Macaca fascicularis: one gene and its partners. Each later gene encodes a partner of the first gene's protein in a complex. Links are inferred from orthologs where the notes say so. Each region holds a gene or a part of one and is shown on either strand. Other genes may lie near its edges.

Region 1 (3,751 bases):
CAAAGTGGACATTAAGGACAGGAAAGTGAAGGCGAAATCCATTGTCTTCCACCGAAAGAAGAATCTTCAGGTGTGTAAAATTAAAACTTCCTGAGTTATTTCTCTTAGCGGAGATTGTATGTAAGACCATGAAATTGACCAGTGTCTATTATATATGGAAATGATTTTTTTTCTCCCAAGATGGAGTCCCGCTCTGTCCCCCAGGCTGGAGTGCAGTGACGCAATCTGGGCTCACTGCGACCTCCGCCTCCCGGGTTCAAGCAGTTCTCCTGTCTCAGCTCCCCTAGTAGCTGGATTAAAGGCATGTACCACCACGCCTGGCTAATTTTTGTACTTTTTTTTTTTTTTTTTTTAGTAGAGACGGGGTTTCACCATGTTGGTCAGGCTGATCTCCAACTCCTGACCTTAAGTGATCCACTTGCCTCGGCCTCCTGAAGTGCTGGGATTACAGGCATGAGCCACTGTGCTGGCAGGAAATAATTTTGTCTTTTTTTATACTATTGTTTTTAAAGAATGATAGAGATGGGGTTTCACTGTTGTCCGGGTTGGTCAACTGAGATACGTGTGTGTATTTATATATTCTTTGTTTTTTGAGACAGGGTCTTGCCCTGTTGCCCTGGCGGGAGTGCAGTGGCATGAACATAGCTCACTGCAGCCTTGAACTCCTGGGCTCAAGCAGTCCTCCCACTTCAGCCTTCTGAGTAGCTGGGACCACAGGCATTCAAGACCATGCCCACCTAATTTGTTTTTTTGTAGAAATGGGATCTTGCTCTGTTGCCCAGGCCTGATCTTGTACTATTGGCCTCAGGCAATCCTCCCACCTCAGCCCCCCCCCAAAGTGCTGGGATTACAGGCATGAGCCACCATGCCTTGCCAAGAATCTTAACATTTTCTTGTCTTGCCATGTCCTAGAAAAATCGTCATCTTAATGAATTTTAAAAGGTAAAAATTATTTTCTTTTAAACAGTACTATGACATTTCTGCCAAAAGTAACTACAACTTTGAAAAGCCCTTCCTCTGGCTCGCTAGGAAGCTCATTGGAGACCCTAACTTGGAATTTGTTGCCATGCCTGCTCTTGCCCCACCGGAAGTTGTCATGGACCCAGCTTTGGCAGCGCAGTATGAGCACGACTTAGAGGTATTACGGCCACTTTGCTGTCTAGGCTATAACGTTTGACTTGTATATTCCTGGCAGTTTTGATCTGGAGTGTTAACATTTTTTCATCTCTTCGTCTAGGTTGCTCAGACAACTGCTCTCCCGGATGAGGATGATGACCTGTGAGAATGGAGCTGGAGCCCAGCGTCAGAAGTCTAGTTTTATAGGCAGCTGTCCTGTGATGTCAGCGGTGCAGCGTGTGTGCCACCTCATTATTATCTAGCTAAGCGGAACATGTGCTTCATCTGTGGGATGCTGAAGGAGATGAGTGGGCTTCGGAGTGAATGTGGCAGTTTAAAAAATACCTTCATTGTTTGGACCTGCATATTTAGTTGTTTTGGAACGCAGTTGATTCCTTGAGTTTCAAATATAAGACTGCTACAGTCACATCACAATATTCAGTGGTGAAATCTTGTTTTGTTACTGTCATTCCCATTCCTTTTCGTTTAGAATCAGAATAAAGTTGTATTTCAAATATCTAAGCAAGTGAACTCATCCCTTGTTTATAAATAGCATTTGGAAATCGCTAAAATAGGGAAATTTTATGCCATGTTAATATTTGAATTGCCTTGCTATTATCGCTTAATTTGAAATCTATTGGGTTAATTTCTCCCTATGTCTACTTTTTATTTTTGTACATTTGAGCCATGTCGCACAAACTGATTATGGCAGATCAGCAGTATTCTATTTGGTTAGAAGGGTCACATGGTGTAAATATTAGTGCAGTTAAGCTAAAGCAATGTTTGCTCCACCTTCATTTTGGCTAGGTAGGGTCACCTAGGGAAGAACTTGCTCAAAATTTGTGACCTGTCAGAATAAAAAATAATGTGGTTTGTATATATGAAATAGATATTTTAAGGGTAATACTTTTGTTTTATGGCAAAAGTAATCATGTTTTAATGTAGAACTTCAAACAGGATGGAATATCAGTGGATGGCAGGAGCTTGGGAATTCTTGCTGTTAAGTACAAATTTTGCACTTTTTGAATGTTAGATGCTTAGTGTAAAGTTGATACGCAAGGAAAATGGTCCATGTTTACCCACGGTTTTCAGGTACTCCCGGACTTTAAAGATGTCTTGGACATTAAGTTCTTAAGCAGTACACACTACACCGTTTATTTTTTTTTTTCCTCCTAAGGATTTTTTTGTAGGGCAGCACAGCAGAGCAGGACATGGATGAAATACTAGGAATACGCATAGTGGGGCAGTGTGGGGGCTTCTCAGCAATGGAGAACAGTTGGTGAAACCTTTATTTTTATCAAACTAAGCATTTAATCTTGTATATTTCCCACATTTAAAAATGAATTAGGTCTCTATCCTAATTAGGATTTGATCCCATCAACACTATTGTAGCAGTTAGGAATCTTAAGAGCTATTTTTTTTTCATACAATTACTATAGTCCAGTTTACCAAAGTTTTCTTTAGATGTCTGATTATCTTGAGGTGATTACTTACCTTAAAAGGTATAGAAAGGATCACTTACATATATGGAAAAATGAAACAAGGGTGAAGCTGAATAAAGTTCTACTTACTGTATTAACTGGCAACAGTTGAGTTTCTTAAGATCTGAATTGCTGTGTATGTTACGCTGTATTCAGAACCAGTTTCTAACCAGCCTGTGAGATGGGAAGTTTTTTTCCCATAATTGGGATGAAACCTTTCATTCAGATATTTTGAATTGAAGGTGTATGTGTTGTTTGTAACCTTGTGTAGATTGCAAGTGGTGTTGACATTCTGGATCTTCTATGTAACAGTTGAAATTTGGAAGTGACGTCGCTTACCTGTCTAACATGGTGTGGGAGAGAATTTACAAGTCATTTATTGAAAGAATAATTGTTGCAAAATATATTGCTTCGACTTTGCCTGGATTTTTTGAATCATCTGTAGTATTTGCTTTAGGAAATACTGACTAGTTAGCAGAGATTATTATCTTTTATGTGGGGGGTGGGGTGGGGAAGGGGTCATTTCTCTCCAGATTGTACATATGGGAAAAGTTGGCTCTCCCTTTTTTGAAATCTAATGAAAGCTTTATACGAAGTTACTGCAAACTAGTAATAGCTTATTCGAGCAACGTCATTAAGAAAAAGCATAGTTAACGCATGGGTCTTGTGTGGATATAATGTGAAACATTGGTAAATTAGCGGGCAAAATGTTGGAGAGCAGTTTCAATTTGTGTGAGAGCCAGTTTTTTTTTTTTTTTAAACCCATATAGAATTTTTTTTTTTTTTTTAATCATAAAATGTCTGGAAAAGATGAGACTCCAAAATAACCTCCAAAGAGGACTGGTTTCCTGGCTAACTGTTCACCTGAAGGAACTCAAGTACAGAGAATTTCTGGTTTCTTCTGCAAAAACATCAGGAACACAAAAAATTACCCGCTGAGCAAATGGGGTGAGGGTTGGATTCAGCTTTTCTTGCTGGCAAACTGACACATCGTGTATGATGCTTTCTGCCACGTTGGGGCTGTGCAGGGCTGTCCTGCCCAGCAGGATAACGTGAGACTAAGCTCTCCCTGTGTGAGGCAGACCTTGTACTAGGACAGCAGCCATCCTAACTCCCTGCAGCACCTTTTACCCTTGAAGCCTAGGGCATGTTGG
Region 2 (4,160 bases), on another chromosome or scaffold:
TATTTGGTTTCATTATTGTGTTGGCAGTTATTATGATACCTATCCCCCGGCTTCCCAGGCTTTCCAGCTTAAGGTGGATACCTAGTCCCAGATCAAGGCCTCTCTTGGCAGCCTGAAGCTCAAGTGCTGGGTGGGCTCCGACAGTTGGTGACTAAGGGAAACAGATCAGGGCAAGTGTGTGGGTGATGTGAGGTGTCCTTGGATACACCCAAGTTTACCCGCCCAGCCAGTCTCAAGGGCTTTGGCAGGTAATTGATGCCCCTTCTCCTCTGAACGAATGAGCGAGCAAGGAGCCAGTGAGGTAACCCACAGCCTCCTTGGCGCCCATTGGCTGCAGCCCCTTGGTTGCTTAGCAACTCTCCCCATTTTCTCAGCTCTGCTCCTGAAGTGAAGCTCTAATTGCAGGTCTGGGCTGAGCTCCGTGTGAGCAGCAGCGGAGGAGTCCCAGCAGCCCTGCCTCAGCTACTTGAACTGACCGATTGGAGCCAGGCCTCTTGAACCCAGCCTCAGCTGTGGTCGTAAAGACATCCTCCCTGTCTCCTTCCCCCAAACCTAGAAACCTCTGGGACCTCAGACTTGTTCTTCTGTCCACTCACAGGTCGCAGACACAGGTGCTCAGGTGGTAGGAAATCTATGCAGGAACTTCTTCCCATGGGTGAGCTGCATCCAACCCAGAATCCGAGCCTGGTCCTTGCTCTACCCAGTCTAGTTTCCCAGCTTTGGCTTGTGAAAGTCACCTTCAGTGGCTTTGACTCCTGGGTCATCCAGGCACGCCTTCCCCAGGTGTCCTGACATTGGCCCTCCCCTTAGCTAAGCTTGCACTCAAGTCACCCTTTTCTTGCTCCTCCACAGCTGCTGCTGCTTCCTGGCTCTCTCCTTTGAAATGTATTTTTTTTCCAGAAATATGTTTTTAATGCTGGAAAAGCTTTTCCTTGGGAGTTAGGGAGGGAGGGAAAGTGAATTAGGCAGGCTGTTGGGGGCTCCCATCAGTTAGCACTGGAGATATGGGCTGAGATGCACATAGATCCTTTGGGGAAATCCTGGTTGGGCCCTGAAAGAAAAGCAGACCTGTAGCAGTTTAAGGGGAAGTTTCAACCTGGATTCTGCTTCTAAGTTGTATGACCTTGAGTGATATGATACTCTGAGCCCTTTGAGGCTGTATTATCCTTGATTTGTTCTATTATGAGGCTCAGATGAGACACATTAAGAACCTTCACTGAGTATCTGCCGTCTGCATAAACTTTGGCAGGTGGAGGAAGGAGCCTTAGAATACAGTGGAGATGCTATGGGGGTAGAGCGCTACCTCCTGCACCCATCTCAGTTGCTGAGGAGCTTGTGGGCCATAGCCTTGGCCCTGCCTCTTGTCTTTGTGCCAGAGTCTGGCCTGAAAATGCCCATTGTCTGGTGGTGCAGCCCGTGTCAGGGTCAGGAGACTGAAGCTATCCCAGCCGTCTCCAGGCAGCACCCCCTGGGGCTGTCTCTGGGCTGGGGATATCCTGGCATGGATGACTTTTCCTACCAGAATGGGGATGTGGAGAAGGAGGCCGATGTCCCTGGGCTGGTTGCCTCTTTTTGTCATTCTCATCCTCCCACCAAGGATATGAGGCTACTGCCTAGCAACCTGCTTGGGGCAAGTCCAGATAGAACTCCTTCTGGGATCCTCAGTCCCCCACTCCCTAAAATAGATTGCTATGGTGACATTATGATTGACAACAGAGGGGTCCCAAGCACCTGATCCCTACTGTTAGAGCGTGGCTTCCTCTGCTTAGTCTCATCTCCACAGACCAAGGTGCTGAAGAGGGATCCAGTGGGCTGAGCCAGGCTTCTCTCAGTCCCCTTCGTATACTGGGCTATCTATCCTTCTCCTTTAGAGATCGTTGTGTTTCAGGGCTCTGATCTGGACCCTCTTATTTTTTTTTCTCATTCAACACATTCTCCCTGGGCAATTTTCATCTACTCCCGTAGCTTCAATTACCAGCTGTTAGCTGATGACTCTCAAATCTATGGCTTTTGCTCTAACCTCTATGCTGGGTTTCAGGGTTTTATATCCAACTCTTTCTAGATGCTTCTACCTGCATAACCTATCAGGTGTCTGTGAATCAACTTATCTAAGACTGAGCTTATCACCTTCCACCTCCCATTAAAGGTGTTGCTATTCCCCATTCCTCACCCCACAGGTCTCAGTAAATAGCTCCACCATCTATTTAGTTGTTTAGCCAGTGACCTGAGAGTTGCCTTTATTCTTCGCCTTCCTCATATCCAGTCAGTCGTCAAATCCTGTCTGTTTGGCCTCTTAGCTCTGAGTTCATTATCTACTTCTCTCCCTCCGTGCTGCCACCAGACTCCTCAAGAGTTGGGATTTGGTGGTAGAGAGTAGAGTGGATGGCAGGGGTTGATGCTCTCATGAGCTGTTGCTGCCTTCCAAAATCTTTTTTTTTTTTTTTTTTTTTTTTTTTTAATCAGGGCTTCTGAGCCTGTGTTTACTCGTCTGTCTCCCACTCTTGTTCAATCACCCCTGCCAGACTGTATCAGTTTCCTAGGGCTACCATAACAAAGTACCACAAACTAGGTGGCTTTAAAACCAAACAAATTCATTGTCTCACAATTGTGGAGGCTAGAAGTCTGAAATCAAGGTGTTGGCAAGGCTGAGCTCCTTCTGAAACCTGTAGGAGACTCCGTCCTTGCCTCTTGCTAGCTCTGTGGTTTGCTGGCAGTCTTCAGTGTTCTCTGGCTTCCAGCTGCATCACTCCACTCTCTACTTTAGTCCTCATGTGGCATTCTCCCTGTATGTCTCTGTCTTCACATGGATGTCTTCTTATAAGAACACCAGTCATATTGGAGTTCAGGTCCATCCTACTCCAGTATAACCTCATCTGCAATTATCTTATTTCCAAATAAGGCCACATTTTGAGGTACTGGGGATTAGGATTTATCAAAAAACGTATCTTTTTTGTGGGGACATAATTTGACCCATGCGAGTCTGCCCTCTGGCGCCCCAAACTTCATGTTATCACCACATGCAAACTATATTCACTTCATCTCAACCTCCCCAGAAGTTGTAACCTAGCTGGACGTGGTGGCTCACACCTGTAATCCCAGCTACTCCAGAGGCTGAGCAGGAGACCGAGTCTCTTGAGCTCAGGAGTTCGAGACCAGCCTGGGTAACATAGCAAAACCCCATCTCAAAAAACAAAATCTTCACCCATTCTGGAATCAGCTCGCAGTCCACCTGGAGAACACAATTCAACCCGTAATACCAGCCTTCTCATACTTCCCTCTCAGAGTTCTGGGGGCTCTGACCTAAGGTTCTTCCCAACATAGGGAACATCAAATCTGCCATGTAGACCCTGACCCTTGTTTTGCTTAGGATTTAATAAGGGGAGGGGAGCTTTGAAGGAAGACAAGGAGATTATGCCTTTCTCTTAAAGCCAGTGTGGGGGTGAGCAGAGAGCTCTGATGGATTTTCTTACCTCATGCCTCTAGGTACGTGAACACGCTCCTGAAGCTCATCCCGCTGGTGCTGGGTCTGCAGGAACAACTGCGGCAGGCAGTGCAGAACGGGGACATGGAGACCTCCCATGGCATCTGTCGCATCGCTGTGGCCCTGGGCGAGAACCACTCCCGGTAAGGGGTGGAGCAGCTGGGGGTGGGATAGTAGGGCCCTCTAAGAGGTGGGGTTATGGAAGTCCCTGGAGAGGTAGAATGACCTGACTGTGTCTCCTCCTCCCCAGGGCCTTGCTGGACCAAGTAGAGCACTGGCAGAGTTTCCTGGCACTTGTCAACATGATTATGTTCTGCACAGGCATCCCTGGCCACTATCCTGTCAATGAGACCACCAGCTCCCTAACCCTCACCTTCTGGTACACGCTGCAGGTGTGTCTGTGTGACCTCCAGTAGGACTGGGCTGTGGTGGAAGAAGGTGGATCATGGGCTTCTATGGCTGCTGGTGAGGTGGCTAATTGTCTTCCCTGGCTCTCTCAGGATGATATTCTATCCTTTGAGGCAGAGAAGCAGGCTGTATACCAGCAGGTGTACCGGCCAGTCTACTTCCAGCTGGTGGATGTGCTTCTGCACAAGGCCCAGTTCCCTTCTGATGAGGAATATGGATTCTGGTCCTCAGACGAGAAGGAGCAGTTCCGAATTTACAGGTGATGGTAGCA
Region 3 (4,693 bases), on another chromosome or scaffold:
CGATCTTGGCTCACTGCAACCTCTGCCTCTCGGGTTCAAGCAATTCTCCTGCCTCAGCCTCCTGAGTAGCTGGGATTCCAGGCATGCATCACCATGCCCGGCTAAGTTTGTATTTTTAGTAGAGGCGGGTTTCTCCATGTTGGTCAGGATGGTCTCAAACTCCTGACCTCAGGTTATCCGCCCGCCTCTGCCTCCCAAAGTGCTGGGATTACAGGCATGAGCCACCGCGCCCAGCCTGCATGATCTGTTTAACTTTTTTTTTTTTTTTTTTAAGTTTTTGAGACAAGGTCTTGCTCTGTCACCAGGGCTGAAATGCAGTGGTGCGATCATGGCTCACTGCAGCCTCAAGCTCCCAGGCTCGAGATCCTCCTGCCTCAGTCCCTTAGCTGAGACTACAGGCATGCACCATCACGTCCAACTCATTTTTGTATTTTTTGTCGAGACAGGGTTTGACTATGTTGCCCAGGCTGGTCTCGAACTCTCTCGCCTATAATCCCAACACTTTGGGAGGCCGAGATGGGCAACAAGAGTGAAACTCCGTCTCAAAAAAAAAAAAAAAAAAACGCTGTTTGTGTTTTTATGCTTAAATTCACACCTGCAGAAAAGTTGCAAAAAGGTTCAAATAACTCCCATATCCTTCAACTAGATTAACTAACATTTTGCCACATTTGTGTCTCTGCTTTCTCTATGTATATGTGTATTTCTTAACCATAAAGGTTGCTGACATCATGTCCTTTTTGTCCCTAATTATTTCATCTCTTTTTCCCCAAGAACAAGGGCAGTCTCTTACATAACCCTGTACCATAATCGAAATTAATAAATTTAACATTGATACAATACTATTATCTAATATACAGTCAAATTTTGCTGTTTCAGTATTGTCCTTTATAGCAATCCCCACCCAGGATCCGATCCAGGACCATGTATTGCATTCAGTTGTCTTTTTCGTTTCCTGTAATCGGCAACAGTTTCTTAGTTTTTCTTTGTCTAACATAATACAAACATTTCGGGAAGGGTACAGATCCGTTATTCTGTACCATGTCCCTCAGCTTGGGTTTCTCGTGATTAGGCTAAGGTTGTAGACCGGACGGTGACGCCGTGTTTTTCTCAGTGCATCACACAGAAAGCGTGCGATGAATGTCAGCTTGTCCTGCTGCTGATGTTAACGTGGCCGTTCAAGCGGTGTCTGCAGTTTCTCTACGATAGTTACTATTTCCCCTTTTTAATTATCAGGTAATTTGTGCATATTTATGTGGAAGGCTTCGAATGCCCTTTCAGTTTCATGGGACGGAAAAGAGCACTTTATCTGGGCAAATGGATACCTGTGTCTTGCGGAAGAGACCCAGCAGCCAGCAGTACCTGTGTCAACAAAGTTACGCGAACAAAACCTTTCCGGAAGAGCTGAGGGACCTGGGTGCAACGCATTCTGGGAATTGTAGTCTCTGGGTGCTTCCCGGCTGAACACCGCCCTGCGGTCTCTGCGAGAAAGACCCAGAAGCCGCCAGGGGAGGGCGAAGAGGAGGGCGGTGAGGACGCTCTGCGCGCGGTGCGCCATGGGACGGGTAGTTCACGGCGCGCGCCCTGTCGCGCCCCCAGCTGGGGAACGGGACTACCCTACCCGAGAGGCCGCGCGTGCGGGGCGAGGGCAAGCCGGCCGGGGCCTCGAACAAATCAAATCGAAGCAAAGAAACTGCCGGCTTTCAAAATCCTCCTCCTCCGCCATCATCCGCCGCGGTGCGGAGAGCAGGTGGTGCTAAGCGCGTGAGGCCCCGAGCGCGAGAGAGCTGACAGACAAGCCAGCTGGACATCTGGACCGCTGGACCTGGAGGTGGCGACCCCGGCCTGACCCGGACCCTAAATCCGTCCCCGCCCCACCGGGCGGAGGCGCGTGCTCGGTTACCCCCACGCGGCGGCGCCGCCTGTTTACGGTAGAGTCAGGGTCCCTTTCCTTTCACAGTCACCTGCCTGGAAGAGGGGTGGGGGCGAGGAGGGCGTGGCGCCCCAGTGCACCTTCTGCCTGCCCCCTCGGCCTTCTTCACTAAGTCTTCGATGGCCGAGCGCCCCGGGGTGGCGGTGAGAGTGGGGTTGTTGGGCGGCGCTGGCTTCTTTCACAAATGGGGAAACCGAGGCTTAAAGGGCGTCTGACTCGCCGGAGCAGCTCAGCCTGCAGCTGCTAGCAGTGGCGTCTCATATTAGCATCGTTGTCAACCGGAGGCGGTGCGAGTCCGCCGGGGATTCCAGATGGGTCTCCCGCGCCGCCCGCCTGTCATTTGCGGCCTGTATTCGCGAGTCGCTCCCGCGGCGCCGCCTCCCAGCAGGCCCACGCCAACGGGGGGCCCGGGCTGGCGCCGCTGTCCCTGGAATCGATGTGAGTCACTGCTGACGCTTTGCAGGAGCATGCATCTCACCTCAGAAAGTCTCCGACGCTGCTGCGGAGCGGGGAGAGGATATTTCTTTATTAACCCTTTGCTTTTGCTCTGGTGCTGACCCTTTGCTGACCTTGGACAAATCAATTCACGTTTCTGTGCTCCAGTTTCTTGGTCTATAAAGTGTGTGTGGAGGAGTGCATCTCCTTGTCTGGCTCTCTCTTGGACTGAGGAATAGGCCCCCTTTCAGCTGAGAAGTTCTGTCCCTATTCTATTTGGAGGTTTCACCAACACCTTTTACCCTCAAATTGTCCCATCTCAGAACTGCAAGAGATGCTGGGGTTTCAGGTTAATTTTTTGTTGGTTTTTCTTTAATTTTTTTTTTTTTTTTTTTTTTTTTTATCTTTTTAGAGACAGGATCTCCCTCTGTCATCCAGGCTGGAGTGTAGTGGAACAATCACCGCTGAACTGCAGCCTTGGCTTCCTGGGCTCATGCGATCCTCCCACCTCAACTTCCCAACTCATGGGGACTACAGGTGCCATCACACCTGGCTAATTTTTAAATTTTTCTTTGGGGACAGGGTCTCATTCTGTTGCCCAGACTTGTCTCGAACTCCTGGTCTAAAGTGATCTTCCCGCCTAGCCTCCCAAAGTGTTGTAATTACAGGTGTGAGCCACTGCACTGGGCTGGTTTCTCGTTAATTTTTTTTTTGAAACAGGGTCTCCAGAAGTGCAGTAGCAAGCTCTCATCGCACTGCAGCCTCCACCTCCAGGGCTCAAGTGATCCTCCCACTTTACCCCCCAAGTAGCTGGGACTGCAGGCACCCGCCACCACACCCAGCTAGTTTTTGTATTTTTAATGGAGACGGTTTCAGCACATACCCAGGCTGGTTTCTAACTCCTGGGCTCAGTCGATCCACCCACCTCAGCCTCTGGAAATGCTGGGATTACAAGAGTGAGCCATTGCACCCGACTCTGGTTAATTTTTTTTTTTTTGAGACGGAGTTTCACTCTTGTTGCCCAGGCTAGAGTGCAATGCCACGATCTCGGCTTGCCTCAACATCTGCCTCCTGGGTTCAAGTGATTCTCCTGCCTCAGCCTCCTGAGTAGCTGGGATTACAGGCATGTGCCACCACGCCCAGTTAATTTTGTATTTTTGGTGGAGACGGGTTTCACCATGTTGGCCAGGCTGGTCTCGAACTCCCGACCTCAGATGATCTGCCCGCCTCAGCCTCCCAAAATGCTGGGATTATAGGCGTGAGCCACCGCACCTGGCTTGGTTAATTTTTAGGCAGTTTCAACTGGTCATTTCTTGAGCACCTTCTGAATGCCAGGCTCTGTGTGGCAAGTAGAGTGATCCTGTCAAAACATAGGTCAAATGACATCTGTCTCTGCTAGAAACTTCAGTGACTTTCCTTGTCACTTATAGCGAAAGCCACTGTTCTTCCAATGGCCTTTATGACTTGGGCCGCTTGTTAACTCTCTCGTCTCTTAACTCCTTTTTTTCCTGTCTCTCTGTGCTTCAGCCTCGCTGGCCCTATTGCAGTTCCTCCAACCCTCTGCCCGTACAAGAGCCATTGAATTTGCTATTCCCTTTGCAGGAATCGTGTTCCCCCAGATGTGTGCATGGCCCAATCCCTGACATCTTTATTTAACTATTTCCTAATAATGCCTTTTTGTTGTTGTTGTTTGTTTGTTTTGAGACAGAGTCTTGCTCTGTCACCCAGGCTGGAGTGCAGTGGTGTGATCTTGGCTCACTGCAACCTCTGCCTCCTGGGTTCAAGCAATTCTCCTGCCTCAACCTCCCGAGTAGCTGGGACTACAGACACACACCACCATGCCCAACTAATTTTTGTATTTTAGTAGAGACGAGGTTTCACCATGTTGGCCTGGCTGGTCTTGAACTCCTGACCTTGTGATCCACCTGCCTTGGTCTCCCAAAGTGCTGGGATTACAGCCGTGAGCCACCACTCCCACGCCCCCCCTTTTTAAAATCACATACTAAATGTGTCATTTAGCACACATGCTTCAAGAGGTCAAGGTTTCTGTTTCCTTTGCTGCTATACTTCTGTTACCTGGAACAATATCCAGCACACAGTAATACTCAAATGTTTTGTTGAATGAATGAGTGGACACCTTACCCAGAATAATAATTCATGCTTATTGATAAAGACATAGACAAACCAGGGTGATAAGTTTGAACCCAGAGGAAGCCTAGGGGTGGCAGGATTCAGGGTATCACATCTGTATCTGAGAATGAGGAGGCTGTAGGAGGAGGCCTTTTGGATAGCACCCCCTAGTTCTGCCCCTCATATCTGCTTCCTTGG
Region 4 (4,160 bases), on another chromosome or scaffold:
ACCAGCCTGACCAACATGGTGAACTCCATCTCTACTAAAATACAAAAATCAGATAGGCATGGTGGCATGCGCCTGTAATCTGAGCTACTTGGGAGGCTAAGGCAGGATAATCGCTTGCACCCAGGAGGCGGAGGTTGCAGTGAGCTGAGATTGTGCCATTGCAGTCCAGCCAGGGTGACAGAGTGAGACTTCCTCTCCAAAAAATTAAATACATAAATTGTATCTTCTTTTTCTTTCTTTCTTTTTTGAGATGGAGTCTCACTCTGTCACCCAGGCTGGAGTGCAGTGGCGCAATCTGGCTCACTGTAAGCTCCGCCCCCTGGGTTCATGCCATTCTCCCGCCTCAGCCTCCTGAGTAGCTGGGACTACAGGCAACCGCTAGCACGGCCGGCTAATTTTTTTGTATTTTTAGGAGAGACGGGGTTTCACCATGTTCGCCAGGATGGTCTCGATCTCCTGACCTTGTGATCCACCTGCCTTGGCCTCCCAAAGTGCTAGGATTACAGGCATGAGCCACCACACCCGGCCTCAAAAATTAGTATTTTCATAAGGAATTTCTGAAAATAAGAATAACACCTAGGGCTGGGCGCAGTAGCTCACACCTGTAATCCCAGCACTTTGCGAGAGCAAGGTAGGTAGACCACCTGAGGTCAGGAGTTTGAGACCAGCCTTGCTAACAGGGCAAAACTCCATCTCTACTAAAAATACAAAAATTAGCTGGGCGTGGTGGCACATGCCTGTAGTCCCCGCTACTTGGGAGGTTGAAGCAGGAGAATTGCTTGAACCCAGGAGGTGGAGGCTGCAGTAAGCCGAGATCCCTTTTTTTTAAAAAAAAAAAAAAAAAAAGAAAGAAAATGAGCTCTAGCTTTTCTGTCATTTCTTAGTTTTTTACTTTTTTGCTTATAAAATAGGCTTTCATTTTGCTGACCTAGACACCCTAGTTCCTTACTGTAAGATTAATCAAAAACATATTGGAAAATACAAATTTTATAGGTAGGGGTATCCCTTACCACTTGCTGGTACTTGTTTACATTTTCTTGAAGTGTGTTAAGCAGAAAACTGAAGATCCTTTCCATGTTCTGGGTTAATGTTTGCTGGATGTCCCTTCTTCTTTGAGGGGGAAGTGTCTGAAAAGTCACTACATCCTCTGCCAGTCGCAAAAGGATAAACATCACCAATTCTGTCTGTGTTTCCTACACCAACAGAAATAAGCTAGTTAAAAATTAAAATATCTTTTCATTTTATGTATATCCAAAGGCTATTTTCTGTTGCCAAAAAAAAACCCACAAACAAAATCAAACAACCCTGAAGTTTGTTCCAAGGAAAAGTATACCAAACTGATATAGCTGTGTTTCATACCCCTTGTTTGGAAAGAATGTCCAATTCTATTAGCATGTCAGGCCAATGCTGTGGCCACTCTCGCTTGATCATTTCTACTACAATTCGAGACAGAGCATCTTTAATATGGTTCTCTTCTTCCAAAATGTTCAATGTTCCCTGAAAAAGAACAAGAGATATTAAGAGATATGCAAGACGGGATTCCAGAATTCCAGAAAAAAGCCGGGCTGTAGAGTTGTACAAAATTTATCAGCAGGCCTACTTTTAAACCAAACAGAACAAACGAACCTGTTCTTCATGCCTGAGTCACTTGTCCTGCATTCTCACTAATCATTCTTCCACTTAAAGGTTAAGTGAGGGTTGCATCACCTAATAAAAAGGCTGTCATATAGAGAGCTACGATGACATCATTATTCTTTACAAAATGAAAAGATTCTCATATTGACTGTTTCAGTTTGCAGAAGGCCAGGGAGGAAGAGTATAGAAATAAGGAGTATAGTGAGTAGCTGGTAAAATGGAAGGGTATGAAGGAGCAAATGAATATTTTACCAATAGTTCTAATACTAGAAGACGCAGAAGTATTAGAAGATACAGATTCCATCTTTCATGTCTTTTATTTAAAAAAAAAAACAAGAAAGAAAAAAGGCTACAATTTTGAACATGTTTAAAGTCACATATTCTGTTTTGTGTTTAAAGAGACAGTCATCCAGTCATCACACCTGTAATCTCAGTATTTTGGAAAGCTAAGGTGGGAGGATTGCTTGAGGCCAGGGGTTTGAGACCAGACTAGCTTGGGAAACATAGTGAGACCCTGTCTCTTTAAAGACAAAAATAAAATTAGCTGGGCATGGTACCACATGCCTATAATCCCAGCTACTTGGTAGACTAAAGCGAGAAGATCACTTGAGCCCAGGAGTTCAACACTGTAGTGAGCTATGATCATGCTAATGCAATCTAGCCTGAGCAACAGAGACCCTGTCTCAAACAAAAAAAAAAAAAAAAAAGAAAAAGTCATATTCTAATACTTGAAACAAATTCATCCCGCATACTTAAAATTCTGCATCTTTTTCATCACTATTATCACACAGCAGTTGTTCGGAATAAAAGAAAATAAAATAGACAGTGTTTCAATCTGATTTAGATCTAAGAATCTTACTGATTTGTTGAAAATATTTAATCCTCTCTGCCCTGTCTTTATAATTTAAAAAATAGAAGTCAATGCATAAGAGTGATTAATCAAACCTAGTAAGAGACATATACTGAATTATGCTGTTTTTTTTTTTTTTTTTTGAGATAGAGTCTTGCTCTGTTGCACAGGTTGGAGTGCCATGGCACCATCGCAGCTCACTACAGCCTGGACCTCCTGGGCTCAGGCAATCCTCCCACCTCAGCCTCCTGAGTAGCTGGGACTACAGGCATGGGCCACCACGCTCAGCCAGTTTTTGTATTTTTGGTAGAGATGGGGTCTCACTGCATTGCCCAAGCTGCTCTCGAATTCTTAGACGCAGGTGATCCTCCTACCTCGGCTTCCCAAAGTGCTGGAATTACAGTTGTGAGTCACTGTGCCTGGCCTGAATTATGATTTCTTGTGCTGTCTGACCTATTTAGAACCAGTGAATTTTTACACAAACTCTCTATTGAAGAAGTCACGCTTTGCCTAAACTACCTTGGAAACATGTCTCCCAACCACCCGTTCCTTACATTTGCAATCAGCTCCATGACACTGTTCTTCAGATAGACCTTCTCCAATCGAGACATGCCGTTCCACCGAAACCTGGCCACCAAAATGCATAAAGTCAATAGAACCACTTTAGAAGTCTTGCCTTTACAAGAGAATAGCACTGATTTCTACATTTGATTCCACTGGAGATTTCATTACGAAATTATACTTTTGATTTTGTACCCGTCAACAAATGGACAAAAATGATCTACGTTTAACCAAAATATTAACAAAAAAATTCTTGGGAAAAGGTTTTATACATGCAGTGGTCCATTAGCTGGAATCTGCACAAGATTTGTACCACACATCAGTTTCTCCTCATGATTTTATTGATGGGCCAAAATTGAATATACATCTAGGTCAACTCCAACAACGTACTCCAACAAGTGCAAGCAATGTACTTGCTTTTCAGGAAATGCAATTTTGACATCACTCATTTTCTGTGCTGGCTTACAAAATAATTCCAGAAAAACTATGGCTAAGTCTTGAAGGCTACCTCTTCTGGCAGGTGTTGAGGGTAGGACAATCAAGTTAGGAGGGGTTTTCAGTTATTCTCATATAATCCTACTTTGGATGTACTACCCAGAGAAAGCACACAAACTCAGAAAGAGAGAGAGAAAAAAGAAAGCCCCAGTGCCTAATGAGAGATTTACTGACCTATACATTGCATTACTCTAAAAAGGCTTCTAGGGCTACTGGCACATAGTCAGAGCTCAGTAAGTATTGGCTAAATGGCAGGTAATAATTGTTGAATGGGTAATATGTACCACACACTTTACATGGATGAAGAAACTAAAGAAAAGAAAGGTTAAATCTTGAATGAGAGCTCCTGTGAGGTTCTGATAACATCTAGGGGATCATTCCTTTCTTCTTGGAGACTGCTCTTCTCTACTCACCTAAACAGCATCTCTATAGGTTATATAAGATATAAAAATATGTTCTCTCAGACTTCAGTGGTAATGTCCAAAAGCTCCTTACTTGACAACGTGTTCCAGGATCTGAAGGCCAAAATGTCTGACGATGGCAATCTGTGTTTTCTCAGCCAACCTCAAGCCACAGGGGACACAGATAGGACACTTTTCTTTAAATTCTTCACAAAACT
Region 5 (4,802 bases), on another chromosome or scaffold:
TCTACAATTTGATGGCCAGTTGAGTAATTACACAGGGGCTGTCAGCTTGTAATACATTTTAGTGATTTTTACATTTTATAAGTATGTGCTATTTTTCTGATTACAAATGATATTAAAGTCCAAGATTCTAAAACATAAAGTATGAGAATACACTTTCCATTCGCTGGGAACCCTCTCTTTTTAATGCCCGGCCAAAAATACTTGGTTAAGTTTTGTCATTAATCTTTGTCATACAAACAAAAACAAATACAGGAATACACATAATTCTTTACTGTTCAGAAACCAGGTCTCTATACGGATTCTTTTTTTTTTTTTTTTGAAACGGAGTCTCGCTCTGCCGCCCAGGCTGGAGTGCAGTGGCCGGATCTCAGGTAACTGCAAGCTCCGCCTCCCGGGTTTACACTGTTCTCCTGCATCAGCCTCCCGAGTAGCTGGGACTACAGGCACCCGCCACCTGGCCACCTCGCCCGGCTAGTTTTTTGTATTTTTTTAGTAGAGACAGGGTTTCACCGTGTTAGCCAGGATGGTCTCGATCTCCTGACCTCATGATCCGCCCGTCTCGGCCTCCCAAAGTGCTGGGATTACAGGCTTGAGCCACCGCGCCCGGCCCTCTATACAGATTCTTTTAGCAATTTTTCTACTCATTAACTAACATCTCCGCCAGAGGGTCGGAGAAGTAAGAAGTTGCCAATGGTCACATATGCTATTTAAGATTAACTGTAGGGCCGGCGCAGTGCCTCACACCTGTAATCCCAGCACTTTGAGAGGCCAAGGCGGACAGATCACTTGAGGTCAGGAGTTTGAGATCAGCCTGGCCAACATGGTGAAACCCCACCTCTACTAAAAATACAAAAATTAGCTGGATGTGGTGGTGGCACCTATAATCCCGGCTACTCGGGAGGCTGATGCAGGAGAATCTCTTCAACCCGGGAGGCAGAGGTTGCAGTGAGCTGAGATCGCACCAATGCACTCCAGCCTGTGTGACAGAGCAAGACTCCATCTCAAAACAAAACAAAACAAAGAAAAAAGAAAATTAACTGTGGAGAAAAAAGGGATGGAGCTGAATGCACAAAAACTGTAACAGTAAAATTTTACCTTCTAACTCATACCCACAATGAAGAGACAGGTGGCACAGCAAAATAGTCTAAATAAATGTAGGGGCTTCCACGTTCTAACACACTCATCAGATCAGTATATAACCAAAAGGCAGGGATCTTTGTTTTGTTTACAGATATACTCCAAATGTCCCAACAGCGCCCAGCTCAAACAGCAGGTGTCCTGTCTATCATTAGATCAATGAGCTGGGGTATTGCATAAAGTATTTCAAAAAATACTGAAAGATCTGGCGTCCCAGTTTTGCCATTTTCTAGCTGTGAGAACTTGGGCAAGTTATATTTAATTTTTGTGCCTCAGTTTCTTCATCTGTGGAACAGGAAGTATTAAGAAAGTTAAGATAAACAAAGATTGGCTTAGAACACTGCCTGGAGCAGAGGACGGGCTTAATAAATTATTAAACAAACAAGTGTTATTAGAAGCAAAGGCTATAAACTACCATTTTTCCTCCAAAACGTAAAAGTTGTAGCATGGAAGAATAACTTGGATTACAAACCAGACTTTTAAAAACATTTTACCTAATCCCTATTTTATTTCAAAGCATGACACTTCAGACAATACATTTTACTTCTATGCTACAAGTGGGGGGCGGGGGGGAACCCTCTGTAAAATATTCTGAACAAGGCCTGCCACCTGGCCTTATGTCTAGCTACTATTATGAAGAACTTAAGGGAGGCGGAAGAATCACTTGAAGCCAGGAGACGGAAACCAACTTGGTCGCTACAAAAATAAAGATGGACATAGATTAGATGAATAAATAGAAATAAAAAATTAGCCGGGCGTAGTGGCGCACACCTGTGGTCCCAGCTACCTGGAAGGCTGAGGCAGGAGAATCACTTGAGCCCAGGAGCTTGAGGCTACAGTGAGCTACTACTACACTCCGGCCTGGTGACAAAGCAAGACCCAGTCTCAACCAAACAATCAATAAAAGGGAATTTAAAAAGCGTCTGCGCTTGTGGGTAAAAAACCACCAAATTCGACATGATTTCTAGGTATGAAGCAACGTGGTAGGAGACTGAAAGTCTAGGCAAACTGGAAAAAACATTATTTGTGCCTGATATAGTTATGTGGTCTCTGGCATCTGGTGTAGCTCTGCCCTTGGAGCTCAACTTGTCAACATCAGCTTAAAACGAAAACACGGATTTCGTTATACTTAATAGTGAGGTGCCTTGTTGAAGGGAGAGAACAAGCGGGCCAACTAAGGAGACAGAAATACCGAATCTCCAAACTGTTTCTTAATGGAACCGAGCAAATGGGTGATCAATGACCCGGGAACGCAGTAAGAAAGTGAAGCTAGGCCAGAGAGGTAATGGGCCCAGGAGAAAAGCGACGAGGGGTGGCCAGGGGGAGAGGAGAATCGAGAGGAATCGCTAGGAAGGAAACGGAGACCACCACGCCAGGACAGCCCTGCCAGCCCCCTACCTCCGCCGGGGCCGCAGGGGCGAGCCTCACTCGAGTCGGACGCCGCAGCCTGGCGAGGCCCAGGACCCGCTTCACAAACAGCCCACGCTGCGTCGCCGCTGTCATCCCACCCCACCCTCCACCCGTCGCTGCCCACCCGCGCGCCCCGCCCGGCACGCGCGCCCGACCCAGGCTCCCTCCCTAGGGTCCCGGCCCCTAGCCCTGTACCCCACTCCCCAGTGTCCCGTCCTCCAGCCCCTCCCCAGGGTCTGGTCCCCCGGCCCCGCACCCCTCCCCAGGGGCCCGTCCCCCGGCCCCGCACCCCTCCCCAGGGGCCCGTCCCCCGGCCCTGAGCCCTCACCCCTCTCCCCAGGGTCCAGTCCCCAGCCCTGCACTAGCACTCCCCTCCCAGGCCCGAGCCCGCTCCCGCCCTACCGGCCCTGGGCTCTCAGCACCAGGCTCCCGCCCTCAGCCCCTTCCCCTCCTGCGCCAGCCGCCGCCCCTCACCTCCTCGGCCGCTGCCGCAGCACTCGCTAGGTCTTGGGTGCGGCGAAACCCGGGGCGCGGCGGCGCTGGGGTCTGGAGCGTACTGGTGGTCGTCTGGCTGAGCGCGCTCGGCCGCTTCCGGTGCTGCCCTGAGGGCCTCAGAGGACTTGGTGCTCGGCAAGCCCAGAGACTCAAACACCATGTCCCCGGGGAGGGGGAGCTCCTCACGCTGTGTTCGGCAGGGAGGCGAGAGAGCCGGTTCAGCCCGAGACCGCCGTAGTAACCGCGCCGAACACGCTCCGGGCGGCCATTTTGTAACTCGAATCTACCCCCAAAACCAATTCGAAAAAAAGGGAGGAAAGAAACGCCCGCGTTCAGCTACTGCGCAAGCGCGCCGGGACCTCCGGTAGCAGCGCCTCCTTCCGCCGGCCGGGCCCCTCACGCGGCGCATGCGCCCAGCTCCCTAGAAACCGGCGCCGGGCTGAGCGTGCCCGTCTCGCGCAAGCGCGCACGCGCCGACCTTAATCGCGGAGCCGGCGCCGGCAGCGGCGGCTTGGGGTGTTCGGCTCACGTGGGGCTGGCTGCGCGTCTTCCGGGCTGTTCTCGCGCTAGTCGCTGCTAAGGGGCCGGCCATGCGCGAGGAGCTGCGGCGAGGAAGGTCGGTCAGTGGACATGGCCGAGGCTCGCGGTGTCCGTGTGTGGGAGCTGCAGGGCTGAGGAGAGGCCGCCCGCGACCCTCGGGAATCCTGTGAGGTGCCAGTGGGATCGCTTCACGTCAGGAGGCCCCGCCCCGGGGCTGGCCGTACCTGGCCGGGGTGGCCCGGAGCGGCTGGGTCTCGGCGCCAGGAGGGGACGTGTGGACCGCCTGTTAAAGGACCCCTCGTTCGCTGACGTTTGATTTTGCGTCGCGTGGCTTCTCTTCTGTTTTTTTTTCAGCCCCTGAGATCCCTTAGTGCGTCCTGGGCACTGAGCTTTGTCACCCAGGCTGGATTGAAGTGGCGCGATCTTGGCTCACTGCAACCTCCGTCCCCTGGGTTCAAGCGATTCTCCTGCCTCAGCCTCCCTAGTAGTTGGGATTTCAGGTGCCACCACCGCGGCCCGAACCCGTGTGGAATGTTTCACTTTGACCAGTGTCTGCGAAATAGCGGGGGGCATAGAAAATGGTGCAGTTTGGACTAACAGATACGGCGACATCAAAATGTTTCCTGGGTCTGTTAAGTCCTGGGTTTGTTAACATTATTAATCTGTTCCTGTAACCCTAAATATCTTATTGTAAGGGTAAGCAAAATAATGAACACATTTAATTCTTAATTACACATTGTAGCATGAAATAACTGATGCTTTTCTAATACAAATAAAAAAGATTTATGTCTATAATAGCACTGTAGCTGACTTGAGCCTTTCTGGATGGATTTCACTGCTGACTAAAATGACAACTTTAAACTGGCTATAACTCAGGAGAATGGGGGCACTTTGCACGCAGACATCTACCTCCATTGAATTTGGTTACTTTTAATGAAGCTCAAGTCTCAGGTTATGAAATACTGCCCCAAAGGTGTTAGCCACTTTTTTCCTATACTCTGCCTTTCAAAAATCCCTTTCAATTTGCTTAACCCCTGAGAGCCGAAGGACTTTGATGGTTGTTAGGTTGGGTCATTGTCATCATGTTCAGTAAATAAATATCCAGACATGTCAGTTTACCTACTTGACCTAATTCCAAACGAGTCCATGGTGATGTGATCCTGCCTTTCTTTCTGCTGTTAGAGGTCTATGCCAGGAGCCAGCTTTGTCTCCGTTTTGCC
Region 6 (4,746 bases), on another chromosome or scaffold:
AATCATTCTGGTGCATCTAAACATTGAGTTGTTGGGTTTTTCTTTATTGGAGGGGGAGTTAGAATAAGTGGTGCTTTGAAGTTAGTCATAGTCCATCGTGAACGAACATTTGCTAAAGAAAATTGTATTACTTCAATAAACCATTTATCTACCTCTTGGTGGCACAAAGGGCCTAGTAAATTTTGGTGGGCTATTTGCTCTTAAGCAAAGAACAATCTGTAAAGCTGATTTGGAGGACGCTTGGGAACAAACAAGAGACGCAACCACGTGAAAGACAACGTGCATGTGACTTTCACAGAAAATACTATTTGGTGATGATTTAGTATGTGAAGTGCCGCTAGGGTGAAAGGAAAATCTGAGTGTTGCAGATCAAGGGCACCAGGTGGGACGCAGTTGGCATGCAAGCTCACCCAGCCAAAACATGCGCTGTCAAACCAATAACCTGGGATTACAATGTTTTGGCTTTCAGGAAAGGTTGGTTGTCGAAGCGGCCAAATTCCAGCCTGGGGAGGCAGAGTTGAAATTTTAAGACTTTCCCAAGAAGTATTTCGATATATTTTCCGAGACCCTGAGAAGATCACGAGGCGCCAAGAATGCACGCCCTGCGCCTCACCCCAACCTCTCTCTCAGCTACCTGGCCCAACCCAGGCCTCTAAAATGGATTAGAGGTCTGGGGCCTACAATTGGCCTCGGAAGTGTTCCTTTCCCTCCTTTCTCCACCCCTCCGAGAGTTCAAAACAACTGGGTGTGCCATCCCTTTTCCGAACGCATCCCCCATCTGAGGGGCGGATCCTAATTCCCGCGGGCTCAGGCCCCCGCAGGTTGGCGGGAGCCGGTGGGGGCGGGCCGGCCGAGTCCGGGAAGCAGATCGAACACCGCCGCGCGCCGCGATCAAACTCGCGCCGCCACTAGCTCACGAGCTGCGCCCCACCCTCTCCGTCACCGAAGGCGCCCAGCCAATGAGCGGGCGGGAAAGGCCGGGCCTGCGAACTAGGCACTGGGAGGGTGAGGGCCGCAGGGGGAAGGGAAGTCGAGAGCTCGAGGGCGGGCTGCACTTGATTGACAGCTCGTTCGAACGAATCCTCCACGCGGCTTTCCTTCGCTCTCTTTTCTACTTAGCCCTGCTCTTCGTCCCACCTCCTCCTCCTCCACCCCTCTCCTCTTGCCTTTCGACCCTCCCCACTTCCCCTCCCCCACTCTGCGGGCAAATCGCTGCTGAAAAGAGGCGGGGGCCGAAGCGGCGGGCTCGTGTGGAGCCTTGAGGTGGGATTGACTGGCGCTCAGGCCAATGAGAGATAGGCTCATGGCGCGGCTGTAGCTGGAACTGACCAATAGGAGGGCGGGCTGGGGGCGGAGGCCCAGGTTCCAAACGCTCCGCGGCGCCATGGGCTGAAAACTCAACCGAGATGGAATCTCCCAGTCTGAACCGGTTTCAACCGGTTCCGAGTTTGAGGCACTAGGAGGAGGGGGAGAAGCGGCTGCAGCGGCCGCGGCAGGAGCAGCGGGAGCTACAGCATCAGCAAGAGCAACAGTAGCTACAGCCCCGGCGGCGGTGCCTGTTCCAGTCTTTGCTGCTGCAGTCCGTGCAACCACCCAGAGGGGGAGGGGGGAACCACCAGTCGCTGAGGAGCAAGAGAAGGGGGGAAAGTTTAGGCGAGCCTGGGGGGGGCCCAGCGCCGGAGCCGCGTGAGAGAGGGAGCCGTGTTTTGGTAGGGGGGAGTCGGACTGCAACTGGCAGCAGAGCGTCCCCCCGGCCGTGTGGACTCTACACCCCCTACTCCTGCCGCTTCTGCTGCTGCCTGTGGCTGGAGGGTCCCCCTGGGGCTGAATCTTTGGGACTTGACCCGGTTCCCTCCCCCTTCCCTCACTCCCCAGCCGGGCGGGAGCATTTATTCCCCAGATTAATTCCCCTTCTTTTTTGGGGGGCGGGTGGGTGTGTGTGTTGGGGGGAAGCGTCCCTGAAATAGTAAATATTATTGAGCTCTTTTTGCCCTTTTCCTCTCCGTTTTTTTAATTTCTTTTTTTAAGGTGGGAAAACTGTGAAACCCACCTTGATTCGTCCCCTCTCCCCCTCCCCACCTTCCCTGGCCCTAATCCCCCGACAAGGAAGGAAGGAGCAGTTGGTTCAATCTCTGGGTAAGTCGACTGTGTCTTTGGGGCCGAGGGTCGGGCGGCGGCGCGGCCGGGCGGGAGGAGGCCAGCGTGGGGCGCGGCGGTCGCGGGAAGCGAGCCCAGGAGGCGGCGGGCGGGCCGGGGGCGCGCCGGGCCCACAGCGGAGCCTGCGATTGAATGGAGCCGCTTTTGCCGCTGGGGGATGGAGGCGGGGAGGCGGCCGCGGGAGGGGAGCGCTTGCTGGGTCATTCGCGTGTGCGGGTGGCGGTGGAGGAAGGCGAGGAGCGTGATAGTGAAACGGGGCCCCGCGCGGGGTGGAAGGGCTTCCCCAGCCCCACGGGCTGGGGAGAAGTTGGGGTGATTTCAGGAACATCTCTGTAAATTATTAGGAGTGGAAGTTTCCAGAAATATTTAGTGCAGCAGCATTGAAACGTCCGCCTGCATCACGTGGCCCCCTCGGTGGAGAGCTTGGGATGGGGGAGGGAGGGGCTGCCGACTCCCTGTTCCTCCAGCAAGGAAACTCGAAAGCTCTCCGGTTTTTTGCAGAGTGGCATGTGAAGTAGGAAAGATGAATTTTTCAGGGGCCTGCACATGGGATTCCGTCTTGTAGTTCCTTTTCAGGGGTTTGTGTGTGATAAGTTGGTTAAACCATTTACTGCTGGCCTCGTACAGTGGAGGATGCCCTGATTCTCCTTCATTCCGATGTCTGAGTTTGGGTTGGGTGGGAGGAAGTGGTGTAGTAGAGGAAGCATTCATTACTGGCTCAGCCCGGACCTCCTCTGATCACGCCGAGGCCATGCTGCATAGAGAAAGGGGCGTTGAACTTAAGGCGCCTGGTCTAAATGCCTCCTCCGAGTATGGGCGGGGTGAGTGCGTGCTCCCGTGTGCTATAGTTAGAAGGGCTGCAAATCGGTTCGGGTGGGAAGCCAGGGGAGGGCGGGCCCTAGTGAGGTGTGTTTCTCCTGAATGAAGCAGGCGGTTGCCCACACACCTAAGGAGCAGTCAGTCTTTCGCCTTGTAGCGACTTGTTTTTTTTTTTCACCTAGTGTGAAGTTATTAAGCAACGGTTATGATTTCCTGGGTTTTGGATAGGAACTGGCATTGGGGGTCACTTGTAGAGTCACAACATTATCCATTAAGCTGGATAATCCCTAGTGTATGTTATCCAGTGAGTGGATTTTAGGATTGAAGAGCCCAACGGGAATGAGCGTTCGTGGTTACACCTCTCCCTCTTTGACTTGTTTGCTGTCTGATTGTATATCTTAAGTGTGGGACGCTGCTGTTAGTGGAAAGAATGTTTTGGAAGCGGCTTGGTTTGGGGGACTAAATGTGCTTGGCATTGACCACAAAGCCGCCATTTCTGTACTATGTACAGTTCAAGAATAGGTAGGTCATTTCGAAGACAGCCGCTAGTTCTAAGGATGGCAAACTACTGTATTTAAATCCTTCTATTCTAAATCTCGTTTTTCACATCAGTCTAGTTCGGAGAATTCTATAAGGACAGTGTATTTGAAAGTGAAACTTGGAAGAGTCATTTTCTTAATCCTTTTTTGTTTTGGCATTAAACTATTGTAGGAGTAAATAGGTGAAAAGTTTGTTCGATAATTAACCGAAATATTTGAAAACTTCTGATACGTAGATCTTGATGCTTTGTGGACATTGCTTTTAAGCCTCAAATAATTAAGATTGTTCTGATCTTTTAAATTTTATAGTAGTTGAAGGTGGAGAGTTTACACATTCATTTGTGGAATATATATTTCCTCTCAGTTTTTAGATCTTAAGGGTTTTTTTTGTGGTGTGTAACAAGTATCCTGCTGTTTAAAAAAGTTTGTTTAATGCCTACTACAAAATATTTTGAAGTCTCATCAGTTTTGTCAATAATGGACCAATTCTTGAACTCCTAATTTCTTGAGTTTCACATTATTTTTACATCATGTCAGTCATAGGTGACTCATTTTTTGGAGTTCTAATCTGTTGTAACAGACGTTATATTTAAATGAGACATTTGCATTAAAATTGAAATTGCTGCCATTATTATGGACATTTTTAAGCTGTTATAAAATAGCCAGGAATTAACGCCTTTTTTCCCCCCTGCCAAGCTAGTTTGTCCAAATACAGTGTAAAGAAATTAGCTACTCATTTTCTGGTCCATGAAAGTTCCTAAAATGGGAAGAAGCGGAGATCTGACCTTGTTAGTTCTAAATACACTAAACCGGGGGTGCCATGGATGGCTTTCAGGATGTCCTGAATCCTCTACAATTGTATACAGAATCATGAGTTTTTAAAAACTAGGTTAGAGCTATTGGTTCCTCAGAGTCTCAGGCATCTTAGACCCCAAAAAAGGTTAAGGACTACTGACTTAACCAGTTAGGTTTGAGTGGCATTGGCTTTGAAGAAAAGCAGAGGAAAGATATTTTTTATAATTCTGGGCAACAAAAAGTTGGATGTGTGCCAGCATCTTAGAGTAGAATCCTCTTAAAAGGATAGCGTTGCATATGAACTAGTAGGTTTTAACCAGTACATATTTTGGCGAAGTAGCTCATTTTTCTCTTAGAATTCTTTTTTATTTGGGAATGGGCAGGCTTTTACAGCTTTTAACTTGCCAATGAATCTTGTTAGGCATATTGCCCGTAA

The links.
Region 2: the proteins of RAN (region 1) and IPO13 are in contact, whole or in part, in a crystal structure (PDB 3ZJY), measured with the Homo sapiens proteins. The link is inferred for Macaca fascicularis from reciprocal best matches to the Homo sapiens genes RAN and IPO13. Residues at the interface, in NP_006316.1 of Homo sapiens: Lys37, Lys38, Tyr39, Leu43, Gly44, Val45, Val47, Pro49, Trp64, Gly74, Leu75, Arg76, Asp77, Gly78, Tyr79, Ile81, Gln82, Asn103, Arg106, Asp107, Arg110, Val111, Tyr147, Trp163, Arg166; in NP_055467.3 of Homo sapiens: Leu33, Tyr34, Tyr35, Ile39, Lys42, Gln46, Leu49, Met50, Gln53, Glu73, Tyr76, Phe77, Ser80, His83, Ile84, Ile118, Thr121, Arg122, Val125, Val172, Glu175, Glu176, Thr179, Ser414, Asp415, Arg784, Asp785, Pro787, Asp788, Pro829.
Region 3: the proteins of RAN (region 1) and RANGAP1 are in contact, whole or in part, in a cryo-EM structure (PDB 9B62), measured with the Homo sapiens proteins. The link is inferred for Macaca fascicularis from reciprocal best matches to the Homo sapiens genes RAN and RANGAP1. Residues at the interface, in NP_006316.1 of Homo sapiens: Asp18, Gly20, Tyr39, Val40, Ala41, Thr42, Leu43, Gly44, Val45, Glu46, Glu70, Lys71, Leu75, Arg76, Tyr79, Asp91, Thr93, Ser94, Arg95, Val96, Thr97, Asn100, Lys123, Asp128, Arg129, Lys130, Lys132, Lys134; in NP_001265580.1 of Homo sapiens: Ser29, Gly58, Asn59, Thr60, Asp86, Thr89, Gly90, Arg91, Leu92, Arg93, Ile96, Asp121, Ala123, Phe124, Gly125, Asp127, Asn151, Cys152, Gly153, Met154, Gly155, Arg189, Asn190, Arg191, Gln217, Asn244, Asp245, Asn246, Thr247, Asp273.
Region 4: RAN (region 1) and XPO5 share a complex: the UniProt entries of both Homo sapiens proteins name them as parts of the nuclear export receptor complex. The link is inferred for Macaca fascicularis from reciprocal best matches to the Homo sapiens genes RAN and XPO5.
Region 5: the proteins of RAN (region 1) and NUP50 are in contact, whole or in part, in a crystal structure (PDB 7MO0), measured with the Homo sapiens proteins. The link is inferred for Macaca fascicularis from reciprocal best matches to the Homo sapiens genes RAN and NUP50. Residues at the interface, in NP_006316.1 of Homo sapiens: Arg29, His30, Thr32, Gly33, Glu34, Phe35, Glu36, Phe52, Val124, Asp125, Ile126, Lys127, Ser153, Asn154, Tyr155, Phe157, Glu158, Phe176, Ala178, Pro180, Ala181, Leu182, Ala183, Pro184, Glu186, Val187, Asp190, Pro191, Ala194, Tyr197; in NP_009103.2 of Homo sapiens: Pro344, Pro345, Lys346, Val347, Val352, Lys362, Cys363, Lys364, Phe366, Tyr367, Lys368, Asn371, Glu372, Phe373, Lys374, Glu375, Lys376, Gly377, Ile378, Lys384, Lys390, Gln392, Leu394, Arg396, Thr399, Asn400, Leu401, Asn403, Ile404, Leu405.
Region 6: the proteins of RAN (region 1) and XPO1 are in contact, whole or in part, in a crystal structure (PDB 7B51), measured with the Homo sapiens proteins. The link is inferred for Macaca fascicularis from reciprocal best matches to the Homo sapiens genes RAN and XPO1. Residues at the interface, in NP_006316.1 of Homo sapiens: Lys12, Lys37, Lys38, Tyr39, Val40, Ala41, Leu43, Gly44, Val45, Val47, Trp64, Glu70, Lys71, Gly74, Leu75, Arg76, Asp77, Gly78, Tyr79, Ile81, Gln82, Val96, Pro102, Asn103, Arg106, Arg110, Val111, Glu113, Val124, Asp125; in NP_003391.1 of Homo sapiens: Leu35, Tyr36, His37, Gln43, Arg44, Gln47, Leu50, Thr51, Lys54, Glu55, Asn74, Tyr77, Tyr78, Gln81, Lys124, Val125, Lys129, Met132, Leu173, Glu176, Glu177, Phe181, Gln185, Lys266, Thr269, Glu270, Asp313, Gln316, Asn317, Gln320.

The regions. Positions count from the first base shown.
Region 1 is NC_088385.1:137,992,985-137,996,735, forward strand, and holds the end of RAN (GTP-binding nuclear protein Ran), read left to right. Parts: coding exon 1-70; intron 71-967; coding exon 968-1,138; intron 1,139-1,237; coding exon 1,238-1,282; 3' UTR 1,283-3,023; downstream 3,024-3,751. UniProt on the Homo sapiens protein: GTPase involved in nucleocytoplasmic transport, participating both to the import and the export from the nucleus of proteins and RNAs. Switches between a cytoplasmic GDP- and a nuclear GTP-bound state by nucleotide exchange and GTP hydrolysis.
Region 2 is NC_088375.1:190,804,877-190,809,036, reverse strand, and holds part of IPO13 (importin-13), read left to right. Parts: intron 1-3,483; coding exon 3,484-3,624; intron 3,625-3,731; coding exon 3,732-3,873; intron 3,874-3,981; coding exon 3,982-4,148; intron 4,149-4,160. UniProt on the Homo sapiens protein: Functions in nuclear protein import as nuclear transport receptor. Serves as receptor for nuclear localization signals (NLS) in cargo substrates.
Region 3 is NC_088384.1:10,324,628-10,329,320, forward strand, and holds the start of RANGAP1 (ran GTPase-activating protein 1), read left to right. Parts: upstream 1-1,695; 5' UTR 1,696-2,241; coding exon 2,242-2,368; intron 2,369-2,777; exon of another isoform or gene 2,778-2,889; coding exon of another isoform or gene 2,890-2,902; intron 2,903-4,693. UniProt on the Homo sapiens protein: GTPase activator for RAN. Converts cytoplasmic GTP-bound RAN to GDP-bound RAN, which is essential for RAN-mediated nuclear import and export. Mediates dissociation of cargo from nuclear export complexes containing XPO1, RAN and RANBP2 after nuclear export.
Region 4 is NC_088378.1:127,950,007-127,954,166, reverse strand, and holds part of XPO5 (exportin-5), read right to left. Parts: intron 4,159-4,160; coding exon 4,037-4,158; intron 3,113-4,036; coding exon 3,040-3,112; intron 1,498-3,039; coding exon 1,360-1,497; intron 1,194-1,359; coding exon 1,011-1,193; intron 1-1,010. UniProt on the Homo sapiens protein: Mediates the nuclear export of proteins bearing a double-stranded RNA binding domain (dsRBD) and double-stranded RNAs (cargos). XPO5 in the nucleus binds cooperatively to the RNA and to the GTPase Ran in its active GTP-bound form.
Region 5 is NC_088384.1:6,428,199-6,433,000, forward strand, and holds the start of NUP50 (nuclear pore complex protein Nup50), read right to left. Parts: upstream 3,338-4,802; 5' UTR 3,022-3,337; intron 1-3,021. UniProt on the Homo sapiens protein: Component of the nuclear pore complex that has a direct role in nuclear protein import. Actively displaces NLSs from importin-alpha, and facilitates disassembly of the importin-alpha:beta-cargo complex and importin recycling.
Region 6 is NC_088387.1:60,385,447-60,390,192, forward strand, and holds the start of XPO1 (exportin-1), read left to right. Parts: upstream 1-1,458; 5' UTR 1,459-2,136; intron 2,137-4,746. UniProt on the Homo sapiens protein: Mediates the nuclear export of cellular proteins (cargos) bearing a leucine-rich nuclear export signal (NES) and of RNAs.